Linked DNA regions of Lonchura striata. The protein of the gene in region 2 purifies or fractionates together with the protein of the main gene of each other region. This does not show direct contact. Links are inferred from orthologs where the notes say so. Each region holds a gene or a part of one and is shown on either strand. Other genes may lie near its edges.

The links.
Region 1: the proteins of DDX5 (region 2) and RNA-binding protein FUS-like purify together in Homo sapiens (affinity purification with mass spectrometry; 5 studies listed by BioGRID and IntAct, with this or other methods). This does not show direct contact. The link is inferred for Lonchura striata from reciprocal best matches to the Homo sapiens genes DDX5 and FUS.
Region 3: the proteins of DDX5 (region 2) and TRIM25 purify together in Homo sapiens (affinity purification with western blotting; 3 studies listed by BioGRID, with this or other methods). This does not show direct contact. The link is inferred for Lonchura striata from reciprocal best matches to the Homo sapiens genes DDX5 and TRIM25.
Region 4: the proteins of DDX5 (region 2) and EZH2 purify together in Homo sapiens (affinity purification with mass spectrometry; 4 studies listed by BioGRID, with this or other methods). This does not show direct contact. The link is inferred for Lonchura striata from reciprocal best matches to the Homo sapiens genes DDX5 and EZH2.

What each region holds. Positions count from the first base shown.
Region 1 is NC_134637.1:542,503-549,632, reverse strand, and holds the start of RNA-binding protein FUS-like, read left to right. Parts: upstream 1-4,115; coding exon 4,116-4,317; intron 4,318-7,130. Other genes in the region: uncharacterized protein LOC144247894, read left to right, coding at 3,564-3,873. UniProt on the Homo sapiens protein: DNA/RNA-binding protein that plays a role in various cellular processes such as transcription regulation, RNA splicing, RNA transport, DNA repair and damage response. Binds to ssRNA containing the consensus sequence 5'-AGGUAA-3'.
Region 2 is NC_134621.1:8,414,440-8,422,288, forward strand, and holds the start of DDX5 (putative ATP-dependent RNA helicase DDX5), read right to left. Parts: upstream 3,016-7,849; 5' UTR 2,908-3,015; coding exon 2,876-2,907; intron 1,535-2,875; coding exon 1,369-1,534; intron 1,223-1,368; coding exon 1,126-1,222; intron 1,041-1,125; coding exon 907-1,040; intron 785-906; coding exon 719-784; intron 342-718; coding exon 200-341; intron 125-199; coding exon 1-124. Other genes in the region: CEP95 (centrosomal protein of 95 kDa), read left to right, coding at 6,252-6,312, 7,502-7,630. UniProt on the Homo sapiens protein: Involved in the alternative regulation of pre-mRNA splicing; its RNA helicase activity is necessary for increasing tau exon 10 inclusion and occurs in a RBM4-dependent manner. Binds to the tau pre-mRNA in the stem-loop region downstream of exon 10.
Region 3 is NC_134621.1:7,694,456-7,702,340, forward strand, and holds the start of TRIM25 (E3 ubiquitin/ISG15 ligase TRIM25), read right to left. Parts: upstream 3,016-7,885; 5' UTR 2,983-3,015; coding exon 2,356-2,982; intron 1,317-2,355; coding exon 1,221-1,316; intron 790-1,220; coding exon 556-789; intron 1-555. Other genes in the region: COIL (coilin), read right to left, coding at 7,302-7,397, 7,885-7,885.
Region 4 is NC_134603.1:107,631,271-107,638,649, forward strand, and holds the start of EZH2 (histone-lysine N-methyltransferase EZH2), read right to left. Parts: upstream 3,016-7,379; 5' UTR 2,856-3,015; intron 1-2,855. UniProt on the Homo sapiens protein: Polycomb group (PcG) protein. Catalytic subunit of the PRC2/EED-EZH2 complex, which methylates 'Lys-9' (H3K9me) and 'Lys-27' (H3K27me) of histone H3, leading to transcriptional repression of the affected target gene.

The DNA.
Region 1 (7,130 bases), on a different chromosome or scaffold from region 2:
CCCCAGAGCTCCTCCTACCCCGGCTATTCCCAGCCCCCTTCAGCTGCCTCGGCCTCTGGAAGGTGATTAATTAACTAATTAATCCTTAATTAGCACTAATTAATTGTTATTGTTAATTAAAACCCCAAACCAGTAACACAAACCCCACCCCGGTCACTCCCAGTAACTCCAGAGCTCCTCCTACCCCGGCTATTCCCAGCCCCCTTCAGCTGCCTCGGCCTCTGGAAGGTGATTAATTAACTAATTAATCCTTAATTAGCACTAATTAATTGTTATTGTTAATTAAAACCCCAAACCAGTAACACAAACCCCACACCAGTAACTCCAAAGCTCCTCCTGCCCTGGGTATTCCCAGCCCCCTGCGGCTGCCTCGGCCTCTGGAGGGTGATTAATGCACTAATTAATCCTTAATTAGCACTAATTAATTGTTATTGTTAATACCCCAAAGCACTAACACAAACCCCAACCCCTGAAATTCCCGTTTTTTCCCCTCCAAATTCCCACATTTTTCCCCCACGTGCCCACATTTTACCCTCTAATTCATGTCTTCTAAACCCAAAATTCCGATTTCCCTTCCTGGAGATCCCCATTTTTCCCAAAATCCCCCCTTTTCACCCCAAAATCCCCATTTTCCCTTTCCAAACTCCCCTTTTTTGAGCCCCTTTTCCCTCAAAAATCCCATTTCTCCCCCAGAAACCCCCATTTTCTCCCCGCAAACCTCCCATTTTTCCCTTTGCAAACCCCCATTTTTCTCAAAATTCCCCCTTTTCACCCCAAATTTCCCATTTTCCCTTCCAAAACTCCAATATTTTCACCCCAAAATCCCCATTTTCCCTTTCCAAGCTCCCATTTTTCACGCCCCAAATTCCTGTGTTTTCCCCCAAACCTCCCATTTTTCCCCCTCAAAACCCCCATTTTCCCCCTCAAAATCCCCGTTTTTCCCCAAATCCCCTTTTTTCACCCCAAAATTCCCCCTTTTTTCACCCCAAAATCCATATTTTCCCCTTTCCAAACTCCCATTTTTAACACCCCAGATTTCCGCGTCATCCCTCAAAAATCCCATTTCTCCCCCCAAAACCCCCATTTCCCCCCTCAACCCCCATTTCCCCCCTCAACCCCCATTTCTCCCCCTCAACCCCCCGTTTTTTCCCAAAATCCCCTTTTTTCACCCCAAAACTCCAATTTTTTTCACCTCAAAATCCCCATTTTCCCATTTCCAAACTCCCCTTTTAAAAGCCCCTTTTCCCACAAAAATCCCATTTCCCCCCCTCAAACCCCCCATTTTTCCCCCCCGAAACTCCCATTTTTTCCCTCAAACCCCCGTTTTTTCCCAAAATCCCCTTTTTTCACCTCAAAATCCCCATTTTCCCCTTTCCAAACTCCCACTTTTCACACCCCAAATTTCCTCATCTTCCCTCAAACCCCCCATTTCCCCCCTCAAAACCCCCATTCCCCCCTCAAACCCCCCATTTCCCCTTTCAAACCCCCCATTTTTTCCCTCAAAACCCTCATTTTTTCCCAAAATCCCCGTTTCTCACCCCAAAATCCCCATTTTCCCCTTTCCAAAGTCCCATTTTCCTGCCTCTTCCCTCAAACCCCCCATTTCCCTCCTCAAACCTCCCATTTCCCCCCCAAAACCTCCCATTTCCCCCCTCAAACCCCCATTTCCGCCCCCTCAAACCCCCCATTTTTTCCCTCAAAACCCCCATTTTTTCCCAAAATCCCCTTTTTCACCCCAAAATCCCCATTTTCCCTTTCCAAAGTCCCATTTTAAAAGCCCCTTTTCCCACAAAAATCCCATTCCCCCCCTCAAACCCCCATTCCCCCCCCTCAAAACCCCCATATTTCCCCTCAAAACCCCCATTTCCCCCCCTCAAGCCTCCCATTTTTCCCCCCGAAACTCCCATTTTCCCCCCTCAAAATCTCCATTTTTTCCCTCAAAGCCCCATTTTTTCCGAAAATCCCCTTTTTCCACACCAAAATTCCCCCGTTTCTCACCCCAAAATCCCCATTTCCCCTTTCCAAGCTCCCACTTTTCACACCCCAAATTTCCGCCTCTTCCCTCAAACCTCCCATTTTCCCCCCCACAAACCTCCCATTTTTCCCCCCCCAAACCCCCATTTCCCCCTTTCAAACCCCCCATTTTTTCCCTCAAAACCCCCATTTTTTCCCAAAATCCCCTTTTTCACCCCAAAATCCCCATTTTCCCTTTCCAAACTCCCCTTTTAAAAGCCCCTTTTCCCACAAACCTCCCATTTCTCCCCCTCAAACCTCCCATTTCCCCCCCAACCCCCCCATTTTTTCCCCTCAAAACCCCCATTTCTCCCCCCTCAACCCCCATTTTTCCCCAAAATCCCCTTTTTTCACCCCAAAATCCCCATTTTCCCCTTTCCAAAGTCCCATTTTCCTGCCTCTTCCCTCAAACTTCCCATTTCCCTCCCTCAAAACCCCCATTTCCCCCCCCAAACTCCCCATATGTCCCCTCAAAACCCCTATTTCCCCCTGAAACCCCCATTTCTCCCCCTCAACCCCCTGTTTTTTCCCAAAATCCCCTTTTTTCACCCCAAAACTCCAATTTTTTTCACCCCAAAATCCCCATTTTCCCTTTCCAAACTCCCCTTTTAAAAGCCCCTTTTCCCACAAAAATCCCATTTCCCCCCTCAAAACCCCCATTTCCCCCCCAAACCCCCCATTTTTCCCCTCAACCCCCATTTTCCCCCTCAAAACCCCCATTTCTCCCCCCTCAACCCCCATTTTTTTCCCAAAATCCCCGTTTCTCACCCCAAAACCCCCATTTCCCCTTTCCAAGCTCCCACTTTTCACACCCCAAATTTCCACCTCTTCCCTCAAACCTCCCATCTCCCCCCCTCAAACCCCCCATTTCCCCCCTCAAACCCCCCATTTTTTCTCTCAAAACCCCCATTTTTTCCCAAAATCCCCGTTTCTCACCCCAAAATCCCCATTTTCCCCTTTCCAAAGTCCCATTTTTTCACATCTTCCCTCAAACCTCCCATTTCCCCCCCTCAAACCTCCCATTTCCCCCCCCAAACTCCCCATATGTCCCCTCAAAACCCCTATTTCCCCCTCAGCCCCCATTTCTCCCCCTCAACCCCCTGTTTTTTCCCAAAATCCCCTTTTTTCACCCCAAAACTCCAATTTTTTTCACCTCAAAATCCCCATTTTCCCCTTTCCAAACTCCCATTTTTCACACCCCAAATTTCCGCCTCTTCCCTCAAACCTCTCATTTTTCCCCCCCAAACCTCCCATTTCCCCCCCCTCAAACCCCCATTTTTCTCTCTGAAACTCCCATTCCCCCCTCAAACCCCCCATTTTTTCCCTCAAAACCCCCATTTTTTCCCAAAATCCCCTTTTTTCACCCCAAAATCCCCATTTTCCCCTTTCCAAAGTCCCATTTTTCCGCCTCTTCCCTCAAACCCCCATTCCCCCCTCAAACCCCCATCCCCCCCCCAAACCCCCATCCCCCCCCCCCCAAACCCCCCACATTCCCCCTCAAACCCCCATTTTTTCCCAAAATCCCCATTTTTCACCCCATTTCTCCGCAGCTACGGCGGCGGCTCGGGCGGCTCCGGCTACGGGCCGGGCGCGGCGGGCGGCGCCTACGCGCAGCAGCCGCAGCCGCAGCCGCAGCCGCAGCCCAGCGGCGCCTACGGCCAGCAGGGCTACGGCCAGCAGGGCTCCTACAACCCGCCCCCGGGCTACGGGCAGCAGGGACACTACGGAGCCGCCTCCTGTGAGTCGCAGTCCCAAAAAAAACGGGAATTTTGGGGCGAAATACGCGGATTTCGGGAAAAATCGGGAGCGGAAACGGTGAAAAAATGGGTTAAAATGGAGCGATTTGGGGTGGAATTCTGAGGCTTCACGTGGGATCAGGTTTTCTGTATTGCACACTGTTACATTTAGGGATTTTAGTGGAATTCCCAAAAAATTTCCAAAAAAATTGGGAATTTTGGGGCGAAATATGAGGAATTTGGGAAAAATCGGGAGCGGAAACGGCGAAATCCGGAGCGAAATCGGCACAATTGGGGAATTCCAGGGTTTGGGATAGAAACAATGGTCCTACAACTGGTTCCAAATTATATCCAGGGATCTGAGTCATGTTCCCAAAAAAAATCGGGAATTTTGGGGTGAAATCCGCAGATTTTGGGCAAAATGGGCTGAAGTTTGGGAGGATTTGGGGTGGGATCAGGTTCCCAAACCCCCCGAGCGGCGCCTACGGGCAGCAGAGCTACGGGCAGCAGGGCTCCTACAACCCGCCCCCGGGCTACGGGCAGCAGGGACACTACGGAGCCGCCTCCTGTGAGTCGCATTCCCAAAAAAAACGGGAATTTTGGGGCGAAATACGAGGATTTTGGGAAAAATCGGGAGCGGAAACGGCGAAATCCAGAGCGAAATCGGCTGATTTTTGGCTGAAATGGGAGGGATTTGGGGTGGAATTCTGAGGCTTCACGTGGGGTCAGGTTTTCTGCATTCCACACTAAGTTATATTCAGGGATTTTAGTGGAATTCCTAAAAAAAATCGGGAATTTTGGGGTGAAATACGCGGAATTTGGGAAAAATCGGGAGCGAAAACGGCGAAATCCGGAGCGAAATCGGCTGATTTTTGGCTGAGATAGGAGGGATTTTGGGGTGGGAATTGGTTTTTCTCCAACTGGTTCCAAATTATATTTACGGATTTTAATGAAATTCCCAAAAAATTCCCCAAAAAATCGGGAATTTTGGGGTGAAATATGAGGATTTTGGGAAAAATCGGGAGCGAAAATGGCGAAAAAATGGGTTAAAATGGAGCGATTTGGGGTGGAATTCTGAGGGTTCACGTGGGATCAGGTTTTCTGCATTCCACACTAAGTTATATCCAGGGATTTTAGTGAAATTCCCAAAAAAATCAGGAATTTTGGGGTGAAATATGAGGAATTTGGGAAAAATCGGGAGCAAAAACGGCGAAATCCGGAGCGAAATCGGCTGATTTTTGGCTGAGATAGGAGGGATTTTGGGGTGGGAATTGGTTTTTCTCCAACTGGTTCCAAATTATATTTACGGATTTTAATGAAATTCCCAAAAAATTCCCCAAAAAATCGGGAATTTTGGGGTGAAATCCGCAGATTTTGGGCAAAATGGGCTGAAGTTTGGGGGGATTTGGGAGGATTTGGGGTGGGATCAGGTTCCCAAACCCCCCGAGCGGCGGCTACGGCCAGCAGGGACACTACGGAGCCGCCTCCTGTGAGTCGCACTCCCAAAAAAAACGGGAATTTTGGGGCGAAATATGAGGATTTTGGGAAAAATCGGGAGCGAAAACGGCGAAATCCGGAGCGAAATCGGCTGATTTTTGGCTGAGATAGGAGGGATTTGGGGTGGAATTCTGAGGCTTCACGTGGGGTCAGGTTTTCTGCATTCCACACTAAGTTATATTCAGGGATTTTAGTGGAATTCCCAAAAAAATCGGGAATTTTGGGGCGAAATACACGGATTTTGGGAAAAATCGGGAGTGAAAACGGTGAAATCCAAAGCGAAATCGGCTGATTTTTGGCTGAGATAGGAGGGATTTGGGGTGGAATTTTGGGATTTGGGGTGGGAACAGTTTTCCTACAACTGGTTCCAAACAATATTTAGGGATCTGAGTCACATTCCCAAAAAAAATCGGGAATTTTGGGGCGAAATATGCGGATTTTGGGCAAAATCGGGAGCGAAAAGTACGAAATCGGAACTGAAATCGGCACAAATGGGGGAATTCCAGGGTTTGGGATAGAAACAATGGTCCTACAACTGGTTCCAAATTATATCCAGGGATCTGAGTCACGTTCCCAAAAAAAATCGGGAATTTTGGGGCGAAATCCGCAGATTTTGGGCAAAATGGGCTGAAGTTTGGGAGGATTTGGGGTGGGATCAGGTTCCCAAACCCCCCGAGCGGCGGCTACGGCCAGCAGGGACACTACGGAGCCGCCTCCTGTGAGTCGCATTCCCAAAAAAATCGGGAATTTTGGGGCGAAATATGAGGAATTTGGGAAAAATCGGGAGCGAAAACGGCGAAATCCGGAGCGAAATCGGCTGATTTTTGGCTGAGATTTTCGGCGTTTGGGGTGGAATTCTGAGGCTTCACGTAGGATCAGGTTTTCTGCATTCCACACTAAGTTATATTCAGGGATTTTAGTGAAATTCCCAAAAAAATGGGGAATTTTGGGGTGAAATATGCGGATTTTGGGAAAAATCGGGAGCGGAAACGGCGAAATCCGGAGCGAAATCGGCTGATTTTGGGCTGAGATAGGAGGGATTTTGGGGTGGGAATTGGTTTTTCTCCAACTGGTTCCAAATTATATTTACGGATTTTAATGAAATTCCCAAAAAATTCCCCAAAAAATCGGGAATTTTGGGGCGAAATCCGCAGATTTTGGGCAAAATGGGCTGAAGTTTGGGGGGATTTGGGAGGATTTGGGGTGGGATCAGGTTCCCAAACCCCCCGAGCGGCGGCTACGGGCAGCAGGGACACTACGGAGCCGCCTCCTGTGAGTCGCACTCCCAAAAAAAACGGGAATTTTGGGGCGAAATACGCGGATTTTGGGAAAAATCGGGAGCGGAAACGGCGAAATCCGGAGCGAAATCGGCTGATTTTTGGCTGAGATAAGGAGGGATTTGGGGTGGAATTCTGAGGCTTCACGTGGGATCAGGTTTTCTGCATTCCACACTAAGTTATATCAAGAGATTTTAGTGGAATTCCCAAAAAATTTCCAAAAGAATTGGGAATTTTGGGGTGAAATATGCGGATTTTGGGAAAAATTGGGAGTGAAAACGGCGAAATCCGGACCAAAATTGGCTGATTTTTGGCTGAAATAGGAGGGATTTTGGGGTGGAATTCTGAGATTTTAGATGGGATCAGTTTTTCTGCATTCCACACTAAGTTATATTCAGGGATTTTAGTGGAATTCCTAAAAAAAATCGGGAATTTTGGGGCGAAATATGAGGATTTTGGGAAAAATCGGGAGCGGAAACGGTGAAAAAATCGGTTAAAATGGAGCGATTTGGGGTGGAATTCTGAGGCTTCACATAGGATCAGGTTTTCTGTATTGCACACTGTTACATTTAGGGATTTTAGCGGAATTCCCAAAAAATTTCCAAAA
Region 2 (7,849 bases):
AATCCCATGTCAAGCATCCTGTCAGCTTCATCAAGGACAAGGTAAGTACACCTCCTGAGATTGGTCTTTCCAGCTTCTAAGAAGTCTATAAGTCTTCCAGGTGTTGCAATGCAGATTTCCACACCTAAAACCAAGCAGTCCCATCAGCTGAAGCAGTTTCCCCATTCCCTCAGACAGATGCACCAAGGCTGATCCATACCTCTTTCCAGGTCACGGATTTGTGGTCCCTTTGGAGCACCTCCATAAATACACGTGGACTTCAAACGACACGCTCTACTGTACTCTGCAGCTACCTGCTGCACTTGTTGGGCGAGTTCACGGGTTGGTGCCAACACAAGACACTGGAAACAGGATACCCATCTTTTAGTTCAATACCCATTGGAAGGTTAGTCTGAGACTTAAAATTTTGAGTGTAAAGTTCAATGCCAGATTGACAGAAGTAGATTTAAGCAGCCAAACCAGCAAACCAAGTTACCTGGTAGCTTCCAGGGATAGCAACTTCCAAAATATAACCCAAAATCAAACCCTGTTCTGTACTATTTTGAGGACAACCCAATCAGAGATTATAGAATCTGCTAGGGAAATCAGCCCAACAGGGAACCACTTTATTCACACAGAGAAGCAGAATGCAGCTATGCACTCTTATGAGCAGGACCAACTGAGACTGTAAAATAAAATCCTTAGAAATTAAAATCCCCTTTAATTTAGGAATACTCACAATAGGTCCATCTCCTCGCTCCAGGAATGGCTGATGATTTATATGCACAATGGCAGGCAGTAAGTACTGATTGGAAGAAAGAAAAATCTCATTACAATCTCTTCCTAGAAGTTTTCACCCTGTGCTAGGCTAGGCCATACTGTCACTGCTGAAATCCAGCAGTATTTCAGGCTATAATCAAAACTTACAGAGAGTGTTTTCCCTGATCCAGTCTGTGCCACTCCAACCATATCCAATCCACTCAATGCAACAGGCCAACCTTGTGCTTGAATAGCAGTTGGTTCAGTGAAGTTCTGCCTCTGAATTACTTCCATAACATTTGCTTGAAGAGAAAATTTAAACATACAGATTCAGATGTTGCCCTAATCCAGTCTGGAGAACAGTTAAGTAAACTGGTCTTCACTTACCAGGGAAGTTTGCTTCGTAAAAGTTGATAATTGGTTTTGGACAGTTATGGCCCCTAACTGTGACCTCTTTGCTCGCTCTGTACTGTTCAACTTCTTGCTGCAAAAAGAAACACCCATTATTGGAAATAATGTCTGATACCAGTTATATTTTAAGTTACCCCATCTGTGCCTGCTGGGCCTCATGACCCTCAACATGTTTGCACTTTCTGTTTACTTTTGGCTTGAGCCAGGTCAGGTACATACCGCAGTACGTCTAACTACATCCGGATGTTCTTGGTAGAAGTTCTTCTCAAATTTGGGCAGCTCATCCAAGTTCCATTTCTTTTTTGTAAGTTTCTCCCCAGGGTTTCCAAATTTCTTCCCAGAGAGAGGTCCACCTCTACTTCCTCCAAAACGAGGGGCTCCAAACCTAGGCAAAAAGAACACATTATAGAATGCATGAAAAACATTTTGGTCCTCCTGAACAACTTCACCACTATGTCTGCAGTACACCCATTAACTTTACAATTTAGATGTAGAAACTCTACATATCGAAGTTTCAGGACACTAGAACTTTAAAAGCCATACTTTAAGCTGCAGATGCCACAATCTGCCTGGCCACAATTCACACTCACAAGCTAAGACAACGTCTTTCCCATTTCCATACAATGCAATTGAACAGCAAGTTACAACAAGCATTAAAACCTTGGCACTACCCCGTGATCAAAATGGTTTCCCGTCCCAGTGACAGTCCTATTACTGAAAGCAGGAGCAGTTACGAAACCTTGAGATAACTTTCCTGTAAACCGTTCTTTTGCATGTCCCAAAAGACAGACTTCTTTTAACAACGGTGTTTTATGAGGACATGCGCTTTATTAGCGTTTCAGGTTCCGTCCCTCCGTTCGGAGGAGGCTGATCTCGAAAGCCCCGAGGCGCAGATCGGTGCCGCGCACTGGATCCGAGCGCAGGTCTCCCTCCCCCGGCCCGATCACTTCCCAATTTTGGCCGGGCGGGCACTGGGAACGATCCTTCCCAGCACAACACAGCGCTTCCCGAGCGGCCGCTGCTTCCTGCCAGCGCTGTTTCCTTTGTCTCTCATTTCTGTCTACGCCACATTTTCCAGCCGCTGCCATTTTAGAGCCGGGCTGGGCGGGGGGGAGGAGGAACAAAGGCAGCAGCAGCATAGCCGGCATTTTGATTCCCCTCAGCCACCGCATGGCGGGGCCGGCCATTAACATCCGCTTACACAACACAAAGCGGAGCCGGCCGGCTCCGGCCGGCCACAGCCCGAGCCTCGGGAGGGGGAAGGGACGGGAGGGAACCGCCCTGCCGAGAGCTCCCCAAGGCTTCGGCACAGCCAACCCACTGACCCACAAACCTCCAGCCCGCCCGCCGCTCCCAGCGGGGGGAATCGGGCTCTGCACGGACCGTCTGTGCTGGGCGGGGGGCGTCCCAAGGGGGTTGGGGCGAGTATTTTCCTTCCCAACAGGAAAAAAAAAAAATTAAAACTCCCCCACGCTATTCTCAGCGGTAGCACACCCGCGAGGGGTGCTCTGAGGCGAAGGAATCTTCCAGTCGGTGGCCTAAAAAAGCCCGATACCCTCCCCCACGGCCAACCCTCGCGGCGGGAGCGCTGAGGGAAGGGCTCAGGGCCGAACCCCCGCCCCGCCGCCATCTTAAAACGTCTGAAAAACAACCCCGAGAGCCCCACGGGTAGGCTCAGAGTCCGGACGCTGGCGGCGGCTGGCGCCAGCCGTGCCCCCGGACTCACCCTCTATCCCTGTCGCTGGAATACCCGGGCATGGCGATGGTGGCGGTGGGCGAGGCGACTCCGGTCGCTTAGAGCGGGTGGCGAAGGGTTGCACAAGATCCGGCGCCGCTGGCGGGGGCCGCTCACTGTGGGCGCGCGGCCGCGCGGCCGCCGGTTATATAGGGCGCAGCGGGGGCTGCTGGGAGCCGGCGCGTGACGCACGCGCAGGCCCCACCCCCGCCGTTATGCAAGCGGCCCGAGCCGAGCCGAGGCTCCGCCCCTTTGTGGGCGTGGCCGCGGCTCGCCCGGCCGAGCGGTTTTGAGCTCGCGGCCGGAAGTGCCCCCTCCCCGCGGGGAGCGGCCCCCACCCCCTGCCCGCGCCTGCGCGGGGCCGCTGCGGGCGGGAGCCTCGTTCTGGCTGAGGGCATCCCGGCCTGAGGGGGCCGGAAATGCAAATGGAGAATGCTCTCTTCCATCCTCCCTAAGTGCAGGCTTTCGGCCTCCCAGCGTGTTCAGAACGCAGCTCGCAGCTCAGCTCCTCATCACTGTTGGCAGGGCAGAGCCGGACCCTGATGTCCGCAGTGCAGTCCCCCAGTTCTCACAGATCTGTTTCTGAAAATCCTCCTGAAATAACTTGAGATGAGCCCAGGTTTTTAACTAATAAAAACTCATACTTCACGGTACATTGGCTCTATGTCCACCTGTGACTTTCGCTCTCAGAAGGACCCAGATGTGCAGATCCTGGAGCTGGATGCAAAATAACATCAAACCTCCTCAGGCTAGTTCTTTTATTCTGTTAACCCATTGCCTTTTAAAAAATGTTTATAAACATATACATGAACAGAAATATTTATAAGCATATGTCTGTAAAATTACCAGTGTTATCTTTTTGGATTCCACACCAGGGCCAGTAACCTGAGTCAAAGGTCATGTGAGGTGCAGTGGTGCTGAAAAGCTGCTCTGAAGGCACGGGATAAAAACACTCAATACCCCAAGTGGACATTGCTGTTCACCCACCGGCTTTGCCAGGCCAGTGTCAGGCGACCTGAAGCTTTACACACACAGGACTTAAAGTTTTAAGCACAAACACCCGAAGCCACCTGCTCCAGGCAGAGAGGGAAGAAATGAAAACAACATAAGGAAGGAGAAGTGCTATAACAACACTTCCCATTTATATCCTCCCACCTTCTAGCAATCTGTGCTTTAAGGCTTTTCTGGGACAAAAATAACTGTATTTGATGGCCATTTCTTCACATTTGGTTCTATTTATGCCCTTAGCTTGTAAGATACCATGACAATGTATTTTACGGTTTTAGTGTATGCAACCTGAAAAACATTTACTTTCGTTTTCAACATATTGCTGGATAATAATAAGGAGCATAAAACAATGAGTTAGTAGAAATGGTGAGTAATAACTTTTTGTTTATTTATACTGTTTGTGGGCATTAATATCTTCTAAGTCACCTCCTTTATAATAAACCAAAGCTGCAGTGTAATTTTTCCTCCTTTTAAAGCGATTCCATGCTTCTAATTATCCTTGCTATTTTTGCCTTTATTGACAAGAAATTCACAGCATTTAAGATCTGGACCTCATACAGATCTACATAATGAAAGTATAAAGGTGGTTTCGATCTGTTGTGTATTACTTTATAGCAGTTTTTAAAATTTGTTGCTAAGAATAGAGCAGGGTTTGCTAAGACTAGAGGTCTGCATGATATTGTCCTCAAAAGTAACACCTAAGTCAGGGTTATTTTGTTTATGAATAGCCAAAACTGTTCAAACCTCAGCAATTTGGAATTCCACCTTGCTCAACCAATTTTTTGTTGTAATTAATTATTTCTTTCAATAGCACTCCAACTTGACCAGTTTTGCTAATACTACCCCAGCAAATTTCTAGTAGAGGAATGCCCCCAGTTTTTTTCAGTAGAGACTTACTTATTTAATATGGCTTATGAAAAATTTTTAACCCCAAATACCCCTACTAACACTCTCCACCTTCTGACCCTACAGGCTTCCTGTTCCTGGTGAGTCTAAAAAAATTTTTTGCAAACGCTGTAAAAATGAATTATCTTTTCTTGTTCTGGTGCATTTATCTTAACACAGCTTAATTTGGTTTTGTTTGTGTATAACTCTGTGGCTCCTGTTACTGTGCTGTTTAATCTTTCTAAGGTATTAAAGAATTGAAAAGACTAAACAAAAACCCAGTCCCTGCCTTGTCTACACGCAGTTAAGTCTGCAAGGAACTCCTTTCAATTTACTTTGTAAAAAAACTTCCTCATTTTTCTGTTCCACCCTCCTAAGTTAAACATCCTTGGTTTTCCCATGTTCTCTTAGAGCCAGCACATGGAAACAAATCAACAGTTTTGCAGAGCTGTGTATGCAGCAAACTAAAATCTGTGTTTAGTTTAGTTTCGATAGCACTGATCTGTGTTTGCTTACACACAACAAAAGTTCTTTTGTGTTCCTGAGGTGGTGTGTGCACTTGGATTTGGATCGACAAATGACACCCGTGGGCTGCTGGAGCTCACAGCACTGAGGTTTTATTGCTGCCAGTCATTGTTCTTACGGTCAAAATTGGGACCTCAGCTGCCTTTGCCGTGCTTGAGGGGTTTAACGATAAAGGGCACCATTTTTTCTTTCAACATGGAAAACCCAGAATTCCTGAGGAGCATGCAATACTGTTGCTCAGAAAGGGAAGTAAGAGATTTTCACCATCCAACCTGTCCAATAAACTGCATGCTAGCGGCTAGTACAGTAACTTTCATTTACGCATTTTATTTTTAATAAACGTTTTAGCTCTCCTTTCATGCAGAAATGCCTTCGAACTGCCAAACCGTGGCAATTAACAGCAATCCCCGCTAATGGACATACAGGCCAGCAAACGTCCCGGGCACGCCTGCAAGGTCAAGTGGTGCAACTTCCCCCGCTCCACCCCCGCCCCAGGCCGGCCCTTTGCCCACCCCATTTACCGAGATAAACGCCGCCACCCGCCTCCTGTTCAGGTGACGGAGGCGGAACCTGACGGACAGGCCCCCCTCCCCCCGCCTTCCCCGCCGCCATTTTACGCCGCCGGCAGCGCTCGGCGGCCGGAGCGCCCCGGGGCCGGCCCGCGCTGCCCGGGGCCTCGGCCCGCGGGGCCCTGCGCCGGTGGCGGAACCGGGCGGACCGCACCGGCGCCCCTCACGGCACCGGCGCCGCGGCTTAGCTTGGGGCACGGGCTCTTTCTTTTGCTCCCCGTTCCCAGTCCAAGCGCAGGCCTGTTCCCAAGCCCGTTACCGAGGCGCTGGGCCCGCCCCGCTCCCGTAACACCGGCCACGACCGAGAGCACCGGACGCGCCGGGCGCGCGGCCCCGCCCCTTCCTGCGGCTGCCCAATGGGCGCGCAGGCCGCGGTTTAAATGGCGGGGCGGCCCCGGGCCCCGGTCGTTGGTGCCGCCATGGGCAGCGCTGAGGGCGCAGGTAGGGCCGGCCCCGGGGGGCTCCGACCGCCGCTCGCTGCGCCCGGCCCTGCGGTGGGCCTGGCCCCGGGCCCCGCTCCCGGAGCAGCGCCCGGCCTGGCACCCGCAGAGCCGGGAGAGACGACCCGGAAAGTTTCCTTCTCCCTTATCACTCCCCCTCCCCGCCGCTGCTCGCATCGCTGGCACAATTTTATTCAGTCATTATTTATTAAAGCTCACCCAGTCAGTTCATGCTTATTCATTTATAAAGCTGTTGTTTTCTTGTGTTACAGCTTTTTAAGATCTTTGCATTAACCTCCCCCTTCCCCTCTTTGTTCCTTTCCTGGCTACACTTTTAACTTAATAAAGCTACAGATGAACAGTAACTCAAGTGTTCCAAGACATCAGCCTGAAATGTAGATGCTGCTTTAACCTTTGGTGCATCTGAAACTTAAGGTGATGTCTGGAACTGATGGAGTAGAGAGATGGAAAAGTAACACTCCTCTGTACAGAAGACTGAAAACTGTACCAATTTGTTTCTGTTGTAGTAATTCTATACTTTTTTCTTCCAAAGGTGACTTATGTCTTCACCAATAAATTAAAGTTCTTAATGCTTGTTAAAATATGTGTGTTTCAAAGCACTTTGATCTTAGGACTCAAATTTTGAGGAAAATCACAATGTTAATGCACATCTTGTGCTCAGCAGAGAACTTGGTGTGACCACTTCTGTATTCTTCTAATCCTTAAATAATTAAAGTAGAATTTACTTTTTATGAGGAGTAGTTACATTAGCAGTGATGACATTGCCTAAGGCTATTAGAGAACCTGAGTTTGTCCGAGAAGCTCATGTTTTCCAAAAAAAGAACCTGTTATTTCTGATAATTGATAAATGGTGTATCAAAGCTTGGCTTGTTAATGTCTTGAAGGTTTAGAGGTCCTGGCTATAGACCAGATGCAAATTTGTTTTTCATTACATGGAAAAAAAAATTAACCTGCCCAGCCTCTGGTACTTCAGTGTTTTTCACTTCCCAAGTCCAGTTGGGTTATGATTACACTTAAACACTGTTTAATATTTTGGATGGATTGGTCAGCCTCCTGTTTGACCACCTCTGGTGGAGTCAAAGACACTTACAGATTATTTTCACTGTAAATAACCACATCTTTATTTCTGGGTCTTTCAGCTCTGACATTAATGATTTTCTTCTGTACAGATTGGGTTGATGTTGCCAATGATCTTTTAAGGGCGTGTCACATAAACCAGCACATAAAGCATCTCTCAGAATGTGGTGCTGACCTGTTTGTTTGTCTTTATGAATCAATCTTAGGAGAGAAAGTACCAGGTAGGAATAATTGCTAAATATGTTTTTTATTTTTGTCTCTGTGTATTTTGTAGCTAAATAAAACTGAAACTTGTAGAACTTCTACAGATACAGGGATTTAAAGCATTTGCATCCTTCCAAAGATAAAAATATAAGGTTGTCATTCTTGAAGAAGATTTAAGTAATATTGGCCAATTTTATTTTAACTTTGGACGGCTAAGAATGGCAGCTATGAAGATA
Region 3 (7,885 bases), about 720 kb from region 2:
ACGTAACTCCTGCCCAGTGACCCCTCTGCTTGTGGCAGAGGCAGTGGCTGAACTGGGAGAGTTACCAGACATCCCTTTGTGGAGGCTCTCAGCTCAGTCGAAGAGAGAACAGAGAGAATTCTCTCAGGCTTCAGCCTGGGAAAGTTAGGAGAAAGAATTCAAACAATTATTATCTCTCTTTCTGTTCATGTTGTTTTTATAGACATATTCTACCACAGTGTGCACCAATAGTGTGAAAGGTTTTTACTTTGACACCAATCGTATTCCACCCTAGTGAGTCAGACTACAAAAGTACTTGCTACTTAATAAACATTCTTTAAGCCTTCTGAACCACGGGAGTCTTTTCGTCCCTCCCTGACTCAACAGCAACACCCCTTCAACATTCTTTCACTGATACTTGTTTACTTTTCAGGACATCTTTTGATAGGAGGTTCTTGCACGCCACTGTGTTTCCATTTCACTGCAAGTCTCTGGAGAGCAGGATGACCACAGGAAGTTTTTGTCATTCTGCATTCTAGAATGAAGAATTGGATTCACATTTAAATGACACATTACCTTCAAAAACAGAACATCATCACTTTCAGTTAGTGCCATCTCAATCTGATCTTTGAGAGACTGAATCTCATTCTTCTTATTTCCCAGAACGCTGTAAATATAATCAAGCTTATTCCAAACTCTCTTTTCTTCCTCTGCAATTGCTTTCATGATCTCATTTTCTCTTTCTTCAATTACAGCTTTAACTTCTGAAAACTCATTTCTGATTAATTCCATCTTTCTTGAAGCTGTCTCCTGGGGTAGACAAGAGCAGACAGGTACTGGTTTCAAAACAACAGTTTGTAAACAAAATACTCTAAGTGCTACTGCATGAAAGCCTCTGAGGAACATGTGGGCTTCTCTTCCTTTAAACAAGCAAGAGAAGAGCTGTCGATTTCTATGTGGTTTGGAAAGAAAACTTCACTCACAAGGAATGGAGCCCATTCTCAGTGTCACCCTCACGTGAGGGTATAAGACATTGCACAGTGCCTGGTTTATTCCTATGTCCCCCAGAGCTGCCTGGCCCTGCCAAAACTCCTCTTTTCTGCTGCTTCCCAGTAACACCTTCTCCTGCCAATGCAGCCTCAGCACTACAGCCCTTGTCACAAGGGTAAAATCACCAACACCATGCAGTGGCCAGCGGGTGCCAGGCAAGCCAACAGTACTCTGAGCAGTTCTCCACTTACAGCAGTTTGGTTCTGTTTTGTTTTCACCGTGCTCATTGCCCGGGCAGTTCTTTCACCCTGGTTATGCAGCTCCACAAGTTTTTTCTTCAGCATCGACTGCAACAGGAAAGACCAGAAAGTATTTCAGAGAGGCAATTGTCATGTCTGCTCTCAGTTTTGAATACTCTTGTAAGCATTTAGTACTCTCAGCTTAAAACCTACCTTTCCTTGAATCTTAGGGGGTGCAAAAGTAGCATCCTGCAAATATGGCTTGTGGCACCCACACCCTCCCCACCTCTCCCAAGAGCATATTGCCATTGCTGACACTCTCTTCACAAACGACCTATGCTTTCATCAGCACAGCAGTTCTCATGCTAAGAATAAATGTTAAATTAGCTCTCACATCAGACTTCCAGCACAGAGTTGATGCTACTGTTCACCCCTCTCCTTTTGAGAATGTTCTCTTAGATGTGATTTACCTGTTCCTTTAGTTCAAGATTCTGCTAAGCTCAATCAGGGCTATGTTCTGCAGCTACACTGTGTACACACCCACTGAACAGATGGGAGTTTGACCATCTAAACTTTTTCAGCATACTTCACTCATCCACATTGATTTTCAGCTGTGCTGGAAAATATAAAGTCCAGGTTTCCTTCCTTTCTACTCCTTCTGGCTTTCATCTACATATTTGAGGTCTCCCTAGGATACCTTTATAATTCTTCTTCTTAAGAACATCTGCAGCAGAATGTCGGCCCCTCAGGCTGTGACAAGCCGTGGCAGGGAGCAGAGCAGCAGAGGAGGCTCAGAGCTCTGGCTGACGCCACAGAGAATGGGAGCCTCGCTGGTAAACCCAGCCCAGACTAGGACAGCCCAGCCCTGTCAATCCAGCTCCCTGGCAGCGCCTTCCCAGACCCCTGCTCTTGAGCAACATCTTGGAGAGACGAGGAAAATGGAAGGAATGGCTCTGAGGACGTGCCTGAGCACATGTTGGAAGGCAGATAACAGTTTATCAATGCCAGACCGAGATTTACAGTCGATGTCTTGTTCCGGCCTCCTCCCCGCACTCCAGAGCGGCTCCCCCGGCACCGAGGGAGGCAAGGGGCGCTCCGGGGTGCCCTTGGGAGGATGTTCCAGCCCCGGCCAGCCCCGGCCGCTCACCTGGGCAGTGGCTGTTGCTTCCTCCAAGGGGCTGGTGGGGCACAGCTTGTGCCCGAGCAGGCAGAGGGAGCAGATGCAGACGCCGTGCTTGCTGCAGAAGAACTCGAAGAGCCTGTTGTGCTGGGGGCACTTGCGGAGCTGCAGGTCGCGCAGGGGCGGGCAGAGCTGGTGGTCGCGGAAGGCAGGGCTGTCGCGGTGCGGCCGCAGGTGCTCGGCGCAGAAGGACGCGGTGCAGGTCAGGCAGGTCTGCACGGCCGGCGCCTCCTGGCAGCTGTCGCAGGACACGGGGGGCTCGCCCGCCCAGCACCCCCCCGCCTCCCCATCCCCATCCCCACCCTCATTCTCCTCCTCTTCCTCGCTCTTGTCCCCGGAGCGGCCCTGGAGCTGCTCCACCACCCGGCACAGCACCGTGTTCTTCTGCAGCTGCGGGCGGGCCGCGAAGGTGGCCCGGCACTGCGGGCAGCTGAAGCCCCCCGAGAGGCCGGCCCAGCTGAGCTCCAGGCAGGAGGCGCAGAAGTTGTGCCCGCAGGGCACCGTCACGGGGCTGCTGAAGAGGCAGAGGCAGATGGAGCAGGTGAGATCCTCCTCCAGCCCCGACAGGCCCGGCTCCGACTCCAGCGCCGCCATCGCCCCGTCCGCAGCTGCCCCAGGAGCCCGAAGCAAACCTGGCCTCGGAGAAACGAAACTACGGCCGGGGCTTTCCGGAAAATTGCGTGTCATCCCCGCCCCGACGGGAGGGGCGGCAGCCGAGGGACGAACCCGGGGCGCCCGCCCATGTGGGGGCCGGGCAGCGCCGGGATGCCGGGGGCGCAGCCCCGCGGAACGGGACCCCGCGGCAGCGCCGGGCCGGGGCTCCGGGCCGGGGCTCCGGGCACCGTTCCCGGAGGTGCCCGGGGCCGCGGGGTCGGCTCTAACCGCAGCGGAGCGTTCGGGGCGCTGCCCGGCCCGCTCCGGCTCAGGGCAACCCGGGACAGCAGCGCTCCGCCCGGGCTCAGGGAGTGCTGAACCCAAATCGCCCCGAGCACCGCCCCAGCTGCTCCGAGTTTTGGGTCAGATGGGTGCTGGAAATCCTACGGACTCATAGGTTTGGGTTGGAAAGGACCTTAAAAATAATCTGTTTGCAACAGGTGATGTCAGGGCAACGTTTTCAAAGCACACAGGTTACTGATTTGTGATTGTGGAAACCATCTGAACAGGAGATGCTTCCTCAGATTTCTTTTTCTTAGTCTAACTGTTCAATAATCACCATTTCTAACAGGAACACTGATGCTGAATAGCAACATGGCAAGTACTCCTGTCTTAACTAACTTGACCACAAATTGTTCCAGTGGCCTCTTCCTCCTCCCTCTTCTGCCCTGTCTGCTGGTGTCCCAGGGATTTCCTTGGGACCCTCTATATTTTTCCACCCATGCTGGCAGCAGGGATAAAAGGAGCAGCCTGGCACAAAGTCTGTGACCCCCCAATAATTTAAACAGAACCTGATGGCCTGCAGCAGAAGGAGCCATGTGCTCTCAACTCTTGTCCAGTGGGCAAAGAACACCTTGTGTGGAGAACTGCTGAGCTTCCCTTTAATGTAATTTAAAAGTATTAGCAGGCCATCTTGTTGGCGTTAGTTCTTGGGGACTTCCAAGAATGTTCAGGAGTTAAACAGAATCACAGAATGAACTAGGTTGAAAGAGACTTTTAAGATCATCTAGTCCAACCTATGACCTAAACTAACACCTCCTTATCAACTAAACCATGGCACTAACTGCCACATCCAGTCTGTTTTTTAAACTACAGGGATGATGATTCCACCACCTCCCTGGACAGACGATTCCAGTGCCCAACCACTCTTTCAGTGAAGAATTTCTTTCTAACATCTAACCTAAACTTGCCTTGGGGCAGCTTAAGGATGTATCCTCTGGTTCTGTCAGTGCTGCCTGGTGAAAGAGCCCAACCCCACCTGAGCACATCCACCTTTCAGGGAGTTGTACAGAGTGATAAGGTCACCCCTGAGTCTCCTTTTCTCCAGGCTGAGCACCCCCAGCTCCCTCAGCCGTTCCTCACAGGGCTTGTGTTCCCAGCCCTCTCCAGCCCTGTTGCCTCCTCTGGATGGGCTCAAAGGTCTCAACGTCCTTCCCAAACTGAGGGGACAGAACTGGACACAGCACTCAAGGTGTGCTCCCACCAGTGCCGAGTACAGGGGGAGAATAACTTCCCTGGCCACTGTTGCTGATACAGGCCAGGGGCTATTGGCCTTTTTGGCCATCTGGGCACACTGCTGGCTCATGCTCATGCTCAATATAAAGCACTCAAAAGAAGCAATGTTGGGTGGTCTGTTACAAGTGAAATCAGCTCCTAGCCAGTTCTTTTGGACTATTAAATTAAATTTGGAGAATCATTGTAAAGCTGTGTTGTACAGATAACATGGACTTGTACCTACACCAGTTATCCCTCCAGCCTTTTAACACTCCTTCAGGATAAGCTGCAGAGGGGTTGTGTGTCACAGGGCTCTGAGTCACTGCCCAGTAACAGATACAGGCGCAGAACCGACAATGGAGGCATTGGGAGCTGCAGGGCTGTGACAGGAGCAAAAGTTCAGGATCAGCTCTGTCATGTGCTCGAGGGTGGAGTTTCTAGGAAATGCGCACGGTGCCACAGGTTTACAGCATGGTTGGGATGTGCTGATCAGGACTTTGTAACTGCTGTTACAAGAAATGTAAACACCTGATGGGGTGGCTGAGAGGGATGGCAAAGGAACACTCTCAGAGAGCTGTGCTGTGCATGAGATGGGACAAAAGAGCAGCTCTTAATGTTTGCATTTTTTATTTTTCCACAGGTTCCTCAGTCCAGATAAGCCCACCCTGGGCTTATCTGGACTAAACCTCTGTCATCTTTCAAACACTCAGCACCTTCACTGTATTTTCTGTGGCACTCATATGGAATCAGCTGATATAGACAAAGGTATGCAAATAAAAAAGGTAAATATAAACCCTCACAACTGCAGCTTCTGCTTCTGGAGCATGGCACGGAATGTTTAGAGTTCAGATGAGCAATTTAAGTTCCACATTGTCAAAGATGGCTTGAGATTCTGGTTTGGAGAAAGCCCAACCACTCCTGTTGTCTATGAGACAATAAATTTTAACATAAAAAAATTATTGCTAGCATTTGAATAGCTATTTAAGTTATTACTCACTTCTGCTTGCAAATACTTGAGAACTTCCTGTGATTCCAAACTGAAACTAACCCTTTGCCCAGCCACTGCACATTCCAAGTACCCCGCAGAGCTTAAGCAGGGCTTTAGAAGCACAGTGGGATAAAAGGCACCTCACATTCCTGCCCCCAGCAAGGGGGCTGAGCGATGGGAGAGCCCCAGGGACAGACAGGCAGCAGTGAGGGTTTGCTCAGTGTTTCACCACCTCCTTGTGGGATTCACGTGCACATTGTCCCATCCCAGATTCCTCAGAGCAGGATGTGGATGGGACAGGCAGGGCTCTTGGCAGTTCCCTCAGATTGCCTGCCCTTGGTCTGATTTGACTTGCTAACAGTGGGTAAATAAAACTCAAGATTTTACCTTCAAAACACCCTCTCTTCTCAGGGGTGTATTTATTTTCCAGCATCACCCGTGTGGCACAGCCAGAGGGACTCAAAATCATGCCAAAAATGGAGGCAATGGAACAACAGGTACTGTGAAACATTTGCATTTAGCTTTTGCAACTTCCTAAGAATTAACAAGTAACAATTCCCTTAGAAAAAGAATCTTTCCATTAATCCTCACTGTCTGAGCATGACTGTGCTCCTGTTTGACATCCTCTTTTCATTCAGTTTGCAAGAACAGCCACACAAATCTAACCAAACTGTTATCTAAAAAAGCAAATCCTAGCATGAAATAATGGTATCTAAAGTGAACCACAAAACACAAATACATTTTACTTGTATAAAAACGATTCCTTCACAAACAAGGCATTTTACTAGGGCTGATGCAAAAATGCACAGAACTTTAATGGATTCATGCACTAGGTCAGAGTACATGACAGCTAAACCATAATCTACAAATTTTCAGGTCTTTGTATCTAGGGTTGCTTTTTCACATGTCTTTCCTGTAGGAGGCAGCTACCTAGCACAGGGATTATCTGAAAGTGTAAGACTTGCCAAGGCTCCAGAGGTACAAGGTCCCCCTCAATGCTAATAATAATTATTAGAGCTGTCAGTGCAGCGCCTTGCCAGCACCTGGTGACCCATTGTGCTGCTGGAAAGAAGTAGAAAGAAGAAAAAAAGAAGAAAGGAAAGAAGCAGGAAGAAGAAAGGCAGCACAGCAACTTCATCACTTAAAGGGCAAGAGGGTTTTCTCTAAAACCAACAATAAAGGCTTTCAGAGCCTACATGGATTAACACAGCAGGACACAATTGTGCCAGGGGTTCATGTTGTATTTCACTGGTTCTAAGCAAAGTTGACAGTCACCAGTGCTATTTATTTGCCTCAAAATTACAGAAACCTTGAAATCCACATGCTTTTCTGGATATGTTTAGGTGAACTCTTTAAGTAACTACAGCATCACAGCATCTGTATGCTGTGGCAACAGCAGAGGGACAGTTCTGCACATCAACAATATTTATAATAAATTTTTAAATGAAAGTGACTTCTGGCAGTCACACAGCTCTAGCCAAACCCAGACATTTAAACAATTACTCACAGTACAGGGTTGTGTTTTATCTTTTAATCAAACCATTCCAGTTCTGCAGCCTGGTACAGTAGAAATATTCAAACCCAACAGGTCTACATTAGACTTCCTATAATAAACAAAGTTTTCATGTATTACATAAAAACATAACCTAAGGGAAAAAAAACATTTTTCTTCTGGCCTACTTCTTTTAAGACAGTAACATCCATCAGTGCACCTGCCACCCTCAGAACCAGAAGACAGCACTTCATAGAACAGATCTGTACAATTGTTCACATCTTTTCACACACTAGATGTTCCGTTTGCAACGCTGGATCCGTTCACTGGAGGCTCCACAATCAGTCTTGGCTCTATCAGCGCATCCCAGCTCTCAGTTATCTGAAAACAAACCACAGGCAGCACTTGGCAGGTGCCAGCAGCACCAGCAGATGCAATTTCTGTGCTGTTATGCTTTTGCCTGGACCACTGAACCAAGATCACAACTCCTCCTGTGAGTCACTGATCCTACTGGAGAACCTCAACCTGCCTGATGTCCTGGGTAAGGAAAGATGCAGGTAAGAACAAAAGTGATGAAAGGGAAAGCTGGTAAGAAAGGATCTCTATGAGACATGATGTTGTTTATTAGCCAAAACAAGAATTCTGGTGAGTGGCAGTGACCCCAGTTAATTGAGTACCATGCAAGAGCTGATTATTATGATGTAAACATGCACCTTCTTGCTAGAAAGAAACAATTACTTTTGCTTCCATTGATTCAAATCAGACGGATGATTACAAAGGAAATGTCCCTGAGGCAAAGAGAGACAGGAAGCAGGGCAGGTGCCAGCTCTGCAGAGCTGGTGGCAGGACTCAGAGCAGCCCCACGTACC
Region 4 (7,379 bases), on a different chromosome or scaffold from region 2:
TCCCCCCAAAACTTCACAGATACTTTTCCTCAAATCAGCTAAGATCCATCTGTAAGTACTAACAGTAGAATTACAGAACTTCCAGATTACAGCCAACACTAAAGTTTTTCCACAGCACTTTTGCTCAAACACAATGTAAAGTAGGCATTTATTATATGTGCCTTCTGTCAGTGCTGCAGCCATTTTAAGAAATAACTCTCACTGTTCAATCACATGAATATAGAACCTTCATCTAAAATTGTTACTCAGTTTTATCATTACAGCTGAGAACTTACTAAAACACATCCATAATCTATACAGGCACAGAAACTGAACAGTTTTGTGAATGGTGACAGAGCACTTCTTTTGATTAATTGCAAGAGGAATTTTAGAGTGCACCAACTTTCCTGGGAGCACTGTTGGCCTGCACCAGATTCTAGATGTAGCTTATTCTGACATAAGCTTCTTTACAGAAAGTGGCTTGCAGTCTCTCTATATCTAACACAGCTCATGCATTCAATAATGCACTATAAAAATTCCCTTCTCCCTAAGCCAAAGTTTCTTTGCAGGTAAGAAGTAGCACGGGAATATTTACATTTCACTTATGAAGGTTGCAATGTTACAGAACAAACAAAAACCAGTTTGAAAGCATGTCTTCAAAGAAATCACCATATTTTAGCTTGTTGGCAGTTTTAGCAAGAAAGGAAAAAAACACAGCGGGGTGGGGGGGAACGCTGAGCTTGAATTTCAGGTCTCCGGTCTAAGCTCACACACCACCACTTCAGCTCATTTTAAACTGAACGGTGACATTTTATGACTTTTTGAAGGTGCAGAGTTTCAGCGTCTGCCACTTTTAAAGGTGAAATTACATATTAAAAAAATCTATGAAAGAACTCTAAATTTCTTCCCAATTTTTTTCCTAAATTAAAGTCTTGAATCCTTCCAAAGTTCCAGACAAGAATAGCAGTTGGCATCTCATGGAACATTATACTGTCACAGATTTCTGCACAGGTTGTTTAGCTTTAATTGTTACTTTAATTTCTCATGGAGGCGGAGGAAGGAAAAAAATATTTTTCCTTTTTGCTTCTTGCAAAGGAAACTCCAGAACAAGAAATGTGACGTTTTTATTTAGTACTTTGTAAAAGTACTAGGTCTTAAAATCATTCAACACATCACAGAAAACTTTTGAGTCACATCTCCTAAAATACTGAAAGGGCATTTTCTGAAAGACTTAGTACATTTCAAATAGTCACATTTTAATAATCACTAGTGAGCCTAGTTATTGTACACTATGTACAAGTAATACCCATCCTTCTGCAGATACTTGATTGTTACCACAAATAAACATTCCCAGGACTCTCAATTTGATATAGACACTGGGAACAAACAAGGAATTACCTTTAAATTTTTATAAATTGCATAAAGAATCTGAATGTGCCAACCCCCCCCAAAAAATATTAGCCTATCTTTGAGAAGAATCCCCACCTAGATGTGAAGATCACACTAAACGTGCTGGCAAAAACTCTTTGCTGAAATCTGTATTAGTAAGAACCAAACTCACAATAGCTGAAAGTAGAGTTGCTAGACTTAAGAAAAGACAAACCTATCCTGCTAAAATTAAATTACCTTCTCCAAACTGTTACGTGCTTCTCATCAGAGAGAATAAGAATCTGAACTTCCAGCTTTAGAAATTTAAAAAACTTTTCTCTTGCTCAAATAAAATCAGTATGGTGCTTTGTAAGTTAGAAAGTATCTCGAATAATGTACAAGTTTGTTGTCCCATTCCTGCCGCACATCTGTGCACGCGTTGCTTTTCTTTAGTGTATGAATAACAATTTTGGAATCACCACGAAGACCTGGTAATGTTAAATACATGTGCATGATGCCACAACACACCGATTTCTTTATCCAACCACACATTTGTTGCTCACGGACGGCTCAGCCCAGCACTCTCCTTCACACCTCCCCAGACACCCTACCTTTAAACAGTGCTCCGTATCGCCGTGCTTGGCGATATGAGACCCAAAACCCCGGAATTTTCAGCTATTTATGAACTTTCTCCCGGCGCTCTGGAAGATCGGGATCGCACGGTGATCTCCACGATTAGGAAGTTCGCCGGAGCAGCCGCCAGACCGAGCTCCCCCCCGGCCCCTCCCGAGCTCTCTCCCTGAGCCCGGAGCGCCCCAAAGCCGAGGCGGGACCCCCAGCGCAGCCCCGCCGTCCCGCGGGCGGGCGGCCCGGGCGCGCTCAGCCTCCCCGCCCGGCCGGCCCCGGCTTCCGGGAGCCCGGGCGGACTGTCCCGGCTCCCGGGAGAGAGGGACGAGCTGCGTGCCGCGCTGCCCACGGCGGGCACACGGCTTTCGGGCGCACGGCTTTCGGGCTCGACACGCACGCACACCTCCCTCTGCCCGCGCCGGGGCCACCGCCGCGTGCCGCCGGCTGGAGCGGAGAGGAGGGGAAGGGAATCGCCGGGTCTGCCCCCCGCTCTGCCTCCCGCCGCCCCCGCCCTTCGAAGGAGTGACGGCGAGCTCGCCCCCAGCCCGGGCGTGCGCCCCGCCGGGCGGGGACCGGAGCCGCCGGCCGGGCTGGACGGAGCCAACTTAGACAAAGGGCACTCCAGACTCCATGTCTCCCCCCTCCAGCTGTCACCGGCCGGGAGCCCGCGTGTCTGCCCGCCGGCTCCCCGCGGGAAGGGGACGCGGCTGCTCCCCGTGAGCCGCCGCCGCCGCTGCCCCCATCCTCCCCTTCCTCCCTGCCGCCCCCTCCCCTCCTCTCCTCCCCTCCCCCATGACAAAGGACCCGGGTATAAATAGCCGCTCCCGGCGCCGCCGCCGCCTCGAGCCCGCGAGGTGTCGCTCGCCCGCCCGCTCACTCACCCGCCCCCCCGCCGCCCCGGCTCCGCGCCGCCGCCGCTCCCGCCGGTGCCGCCGCCAGCTCCGCTCGGCGCTCCCGCTCTGCCTCCCTCCGCCTCCGGCTGCCGGATTCACCCTCCCGGACCGAGCGCCAAACACGCCGGCCCAATCGCCATCGCGCTCATTGGCGAGCGCCGAGCGCCGCCTCCATTGGACGGGCGGCCGCGGCCGGGGCCCCGCCGGGCCAATCGGGCGCGGCGGCGGGCGGGGCGCGGGGCGCGGCCTCGCTCCCCACGTGCGGGGGGGGCAGGGAGGGGTGGGGAGAACTCTTTGTTCTCGCGCTGCCCGCGCGGGGGGACGGGGGGCTCGCGCTCCCCCCGCTCCCGCCGCCCCCCGCCCCCCGCGCCGCGCGGCGGGGCCGGGCCCGGGGCCGCGCCGCGCCGGGGCCGCTCGGAACTCCGCGGCCGCCTCACGTGGAGAAGGGGCAGAGGGAGGGGAAAGGGGAGGGAGGCGGGCGAGAGGATTGGCGGGCACCGGGAGGGGCCGCGCTCCCGCTCCCGCTCGGCGCCGCTGCCGAGTTTGAATCGGTCCGAGAGCGGGAGCGGCGTAACGGCCGTAACGGTCCCGGGGGCGGGAATGTCCGGAGCGGCCCCTCCGTCCCGCCGCCGCTCCGCCTGTTGCGCCCCCGGCGCCGGAGCTCAGCCGCGGCAGGTCACTCCGGCCTTCCTCCGTCTTCAGCAGGGAAAAATAAAATTGCCAAGATAAGTTTTGCTAGCGGGTACTTAGCCCGTCCCTTGCGACCGCATCCCTTTCCGATGCGCCCCGCATCGAGTGCTACTTCCGAGACACACTGGAGCCGTACCCTTGCTTCCACAAGTCCCGTCATCCTTCCTTACCAAATATCACCTCTCCTCTTCCTTGTGGCTACCTCAGCGCATCTTCAGGGGCAGAAGTGAGCAGCGGCCACTGTAAGGGGGTTCTGACTAAGAAAAGTCTCTCACGGAGGAAATAAATCACAAACGCGCCCACATCGCCAGATCATGCCGTGGGCTTGCGTGTCTCACAGACGTGACACGTAGGGAAAACGAGGATGTATCAGCCCTGGAGGCTGGGGACAGCCCACGCTGGCGGGGCAGCCCCGCCGCTCCCCGGCGGATGTCTCGGCCGGCTGAGTCACTTTGCAGCGCTGCTGCTTCGCGTCCGCCTCTTTGACCTTTGCTTGCCCAAACTTCACCGCCGCCAGCCCTCCTTCAGCGCATCGCGCCGGCGGCTTCCTCTCCCTCGCTGCTCCGCATCCAGCGCGGCTTCCCCCTGTCGTGGGGGGATGTCATAAATCGCAGCAGCCGCAGCAAAGTGCTCTCTCCGCATCAGGCTCGCATCCTGTTGCTCGCTACGTGCTGTCTCCAGCCTCTAAGGCTGCTGCTGTTTTCCCTCGTTTCTAATCCACGAGCCGCGCTCATCAATCTTGTTGCCGAGGTTGTATTTAAAACTTGACGGTTCGTGCACCTTTTTACTCTGCCGTCGTCCTGCTCTCTGGTCGCTCCAGCCTTTACTCTGCTTCAGCAGAGAAAAATAAAATTGCCAAGATAAGTTTTCTAATGATACACTTCACCTCCCTTGTGACCAGATCACTTTCCCATGCGTCCCACATCGAGTGCTACTTCCGATGTGCGCTGGAGCAATCGATACATGGTTGTTTCCGTCATCCTTCCTCACCAAATATCAGCTTCCCTCTAACTTGTGCTTCCTAGCGCTACCTTAGTGCTTCTACAGGGTCAAAGTTCAAAAAATGACCAGTGGCCACTGTAATGAGGTCCTAAGTGATAAAAAGTTCTTGCAGGGAAATAAATCACAAATGCACCTTCATCCCCCAATTAATGCAGTTGGCTTATGTGCCAAGTGAGGCTTGGTGTTCTCCTACTTAAAGGCAATGTACTTGTGTGTTTTTATAGTCTCTTTCTATGTGAAAGTACTTAAAATTTCCGGGCTTCATTGTGTATTAAACTTGGAGTGAGGTCTCAAGTGTGGGCATTCCCACTCTGGATGTTCTTGATTTACCTCATGGCCTTGAAAAGGTGTTTCTAATAGTATCTCTTTTTTTGATTTTTGTTTTTGTTTTTGTTTTTGTTTTTTAATCTCTGGGGTTTCATGAGTTACGAGCAAAAAGCACGCAGCAGAAATTATTTCCTATTACAGTTACATGTCATATTGTGGTAGATAGCTATAACCTTCCTCGCATTCTAGTGGAGTGGCTGACAATTGGGAAGATTGTCTTTAAAATATTACATTTGAAAAATATTAGTCATTTCTGGAAATTCAGCTATTGTGAATCTATTCTACCCCAAGATGGCTGCCACCACCAAAATGGCTACCCAGTCTCGTCACAATTTAGGTTTTGTAATTTATTTTGATCCTTCAAGATGCACTTCATGAGATCTGGTTTTGGTCAACAAGAAAAGTAATAATTGCTAGATAAGGGTGAGGTAACTTAATGCAGCAGATACGCTTAGCCACAAGGTGGAAAGATCTGCATTATAGAACCTACCCTGTGAACTAACCTCAGCACTGATCACATCCTTTTCCTCTCTTGTACAGAAGATTATTCATCTGCTGTACCTGAAAGTGATGCTTACTAGAAAACTGTACATGTTTTGAACTGAGTTACTGTTTCTTCTTTGCACTGTACAAAACAATCTCTACACCAAGGCTCCATTCTAGGCTCTTAAAACAATGAACTCCTGTCAAGAAATTCTATGAGGTGCTGATTTCCTGATCCGTAGTTCAGGCTGCCTCAAACCTCCTGGAGAATTTTGGTAACAGTTTGATTCTCTACACAGGAGTTTAATGTTGCAACAAGCTCCATACAGACTTTCTGTTTTCACAGAATAAACCACCCAAATGGTTTTCTGTTTCTGCTGTATTTCTGTGATTAAAAAGCAACTATTTGAACAAGGATCTGTATTATGCAGAGACATTCCAATTGGATCTTTAGGTAAAAATAGCACAACAATTTTTGAAATAATTACAAAACCTGGTATTTTGAGGAGCCTTTCTCAAAGGAGTGAATTCTGGTGGCAGCATGGTACAGTGCTTTTGAGAAAAGTGGCTAACATTGAAGAAATATACACATGTTACATGACAATTAAATAAAATCAGGCTCAAGAAAAAAGTATCAGTTTTAGACCCTTCTGGAACTGTTGAAAGCATTTGCCCTTTTTTTATAGCTAACACACTGTAGAAGAGCATTTTCTATGTTTCCAGCATATGAATGTAACATGTACATTCATATTGCATGTATGACTATGTAGAATAAGGATTTGTCAGTGCTAGATCACCAGCATCAATTAGACATAAAAATAATTGTTTGACAGCATCAGGGTATGATTGCTTCCATGGGGGGATCCTTATGTGCTTCTTTCACCCTTTAAGGAGTGGTATTTGAGTCCAGGAAAAAGAAGGGGCAAACAAAATTCTGCTGCAAAGCAAAATTAACAGTTAAGTGGTTTCTTTTAGATATTTTTAATATCTGAAAGAAGGTGTTATTTCTAAAGCATAGGATATTCTTTATGCACTATTATCCCAAGATTTCCTTGTAGTTAGAATCATATGGTATTTCTTCCCGTCAGGCTTGGGGGACCAAGCCAGACCTGTCTGGGAACTACCTCGGCCTGGAATAACGAGAGATGTTGGCCAGTTTTCCCCTCGCCCACCCGTTTTTTTCCAGGAGAGGCGCAGCAAGGCTGCCCCCAGCACTGGCAGCCCGGAGCAGAGACGCCGGTAGCTGCATCTGTAATTCTTGTAGATAAGCTGGTGACTTGCTGATGGCAGCGTCGCTTTCCTTTGTGCTCCGGAATGGCAGCGCAACAAAGCTGCGTGCAGCTTTGGGCTGGCTCTCTCCGTGGCGCGGGCTGCTGGCTCCACGGATCGGTCACACAGCCTCCAGAGGTTCAGCCTGCTCGTGCTCCAGCTCCCGAGCTCGCTGGAAGGGAGGAAAGGAGGATGGAGGGGTAGGTGTAACCCTGTCCTGGTTACACCTACCCCTACAATCAAAGCCGGTAGCACTGCAAGTAGTATTTCATCCCGTAGAGCGTTTAGGAGCGTGATCTTTGTTTCTTGGTGTTTTCCTAACCCTGTACTTTTACAGAGACCCTAGCTTGTAGTGTGTCTGAAATTCTGCATTTTGGTCCATGTGAATTTGATGAGATTTTACAAAATGTTTACATATGTAGAAATGTAACTACAGTCTAAAATCTAAAGTAAGTACAGTCTAAATCTGTAATAGCATTTATCTCTTATGCACGGCAATGAATACACAGAAATCAGAATATTAAGTGGCATATCATAAAAAGGCATATCAGAGACCCTTTTAAAGTATTGGCCTCTTGTATCATTATTATAAAAAAAGCAGGGAGTTTGTGTTAACTTTTAACAAGAAATTAATGACTATGTTTTGCAACTAGCCACTTTGAGATTAGCTATGTTTTCAAATGTTTTACATTAATATCTTACTGGTATGTATGGACCAATTTCCCTCAAAGAAATGCAACC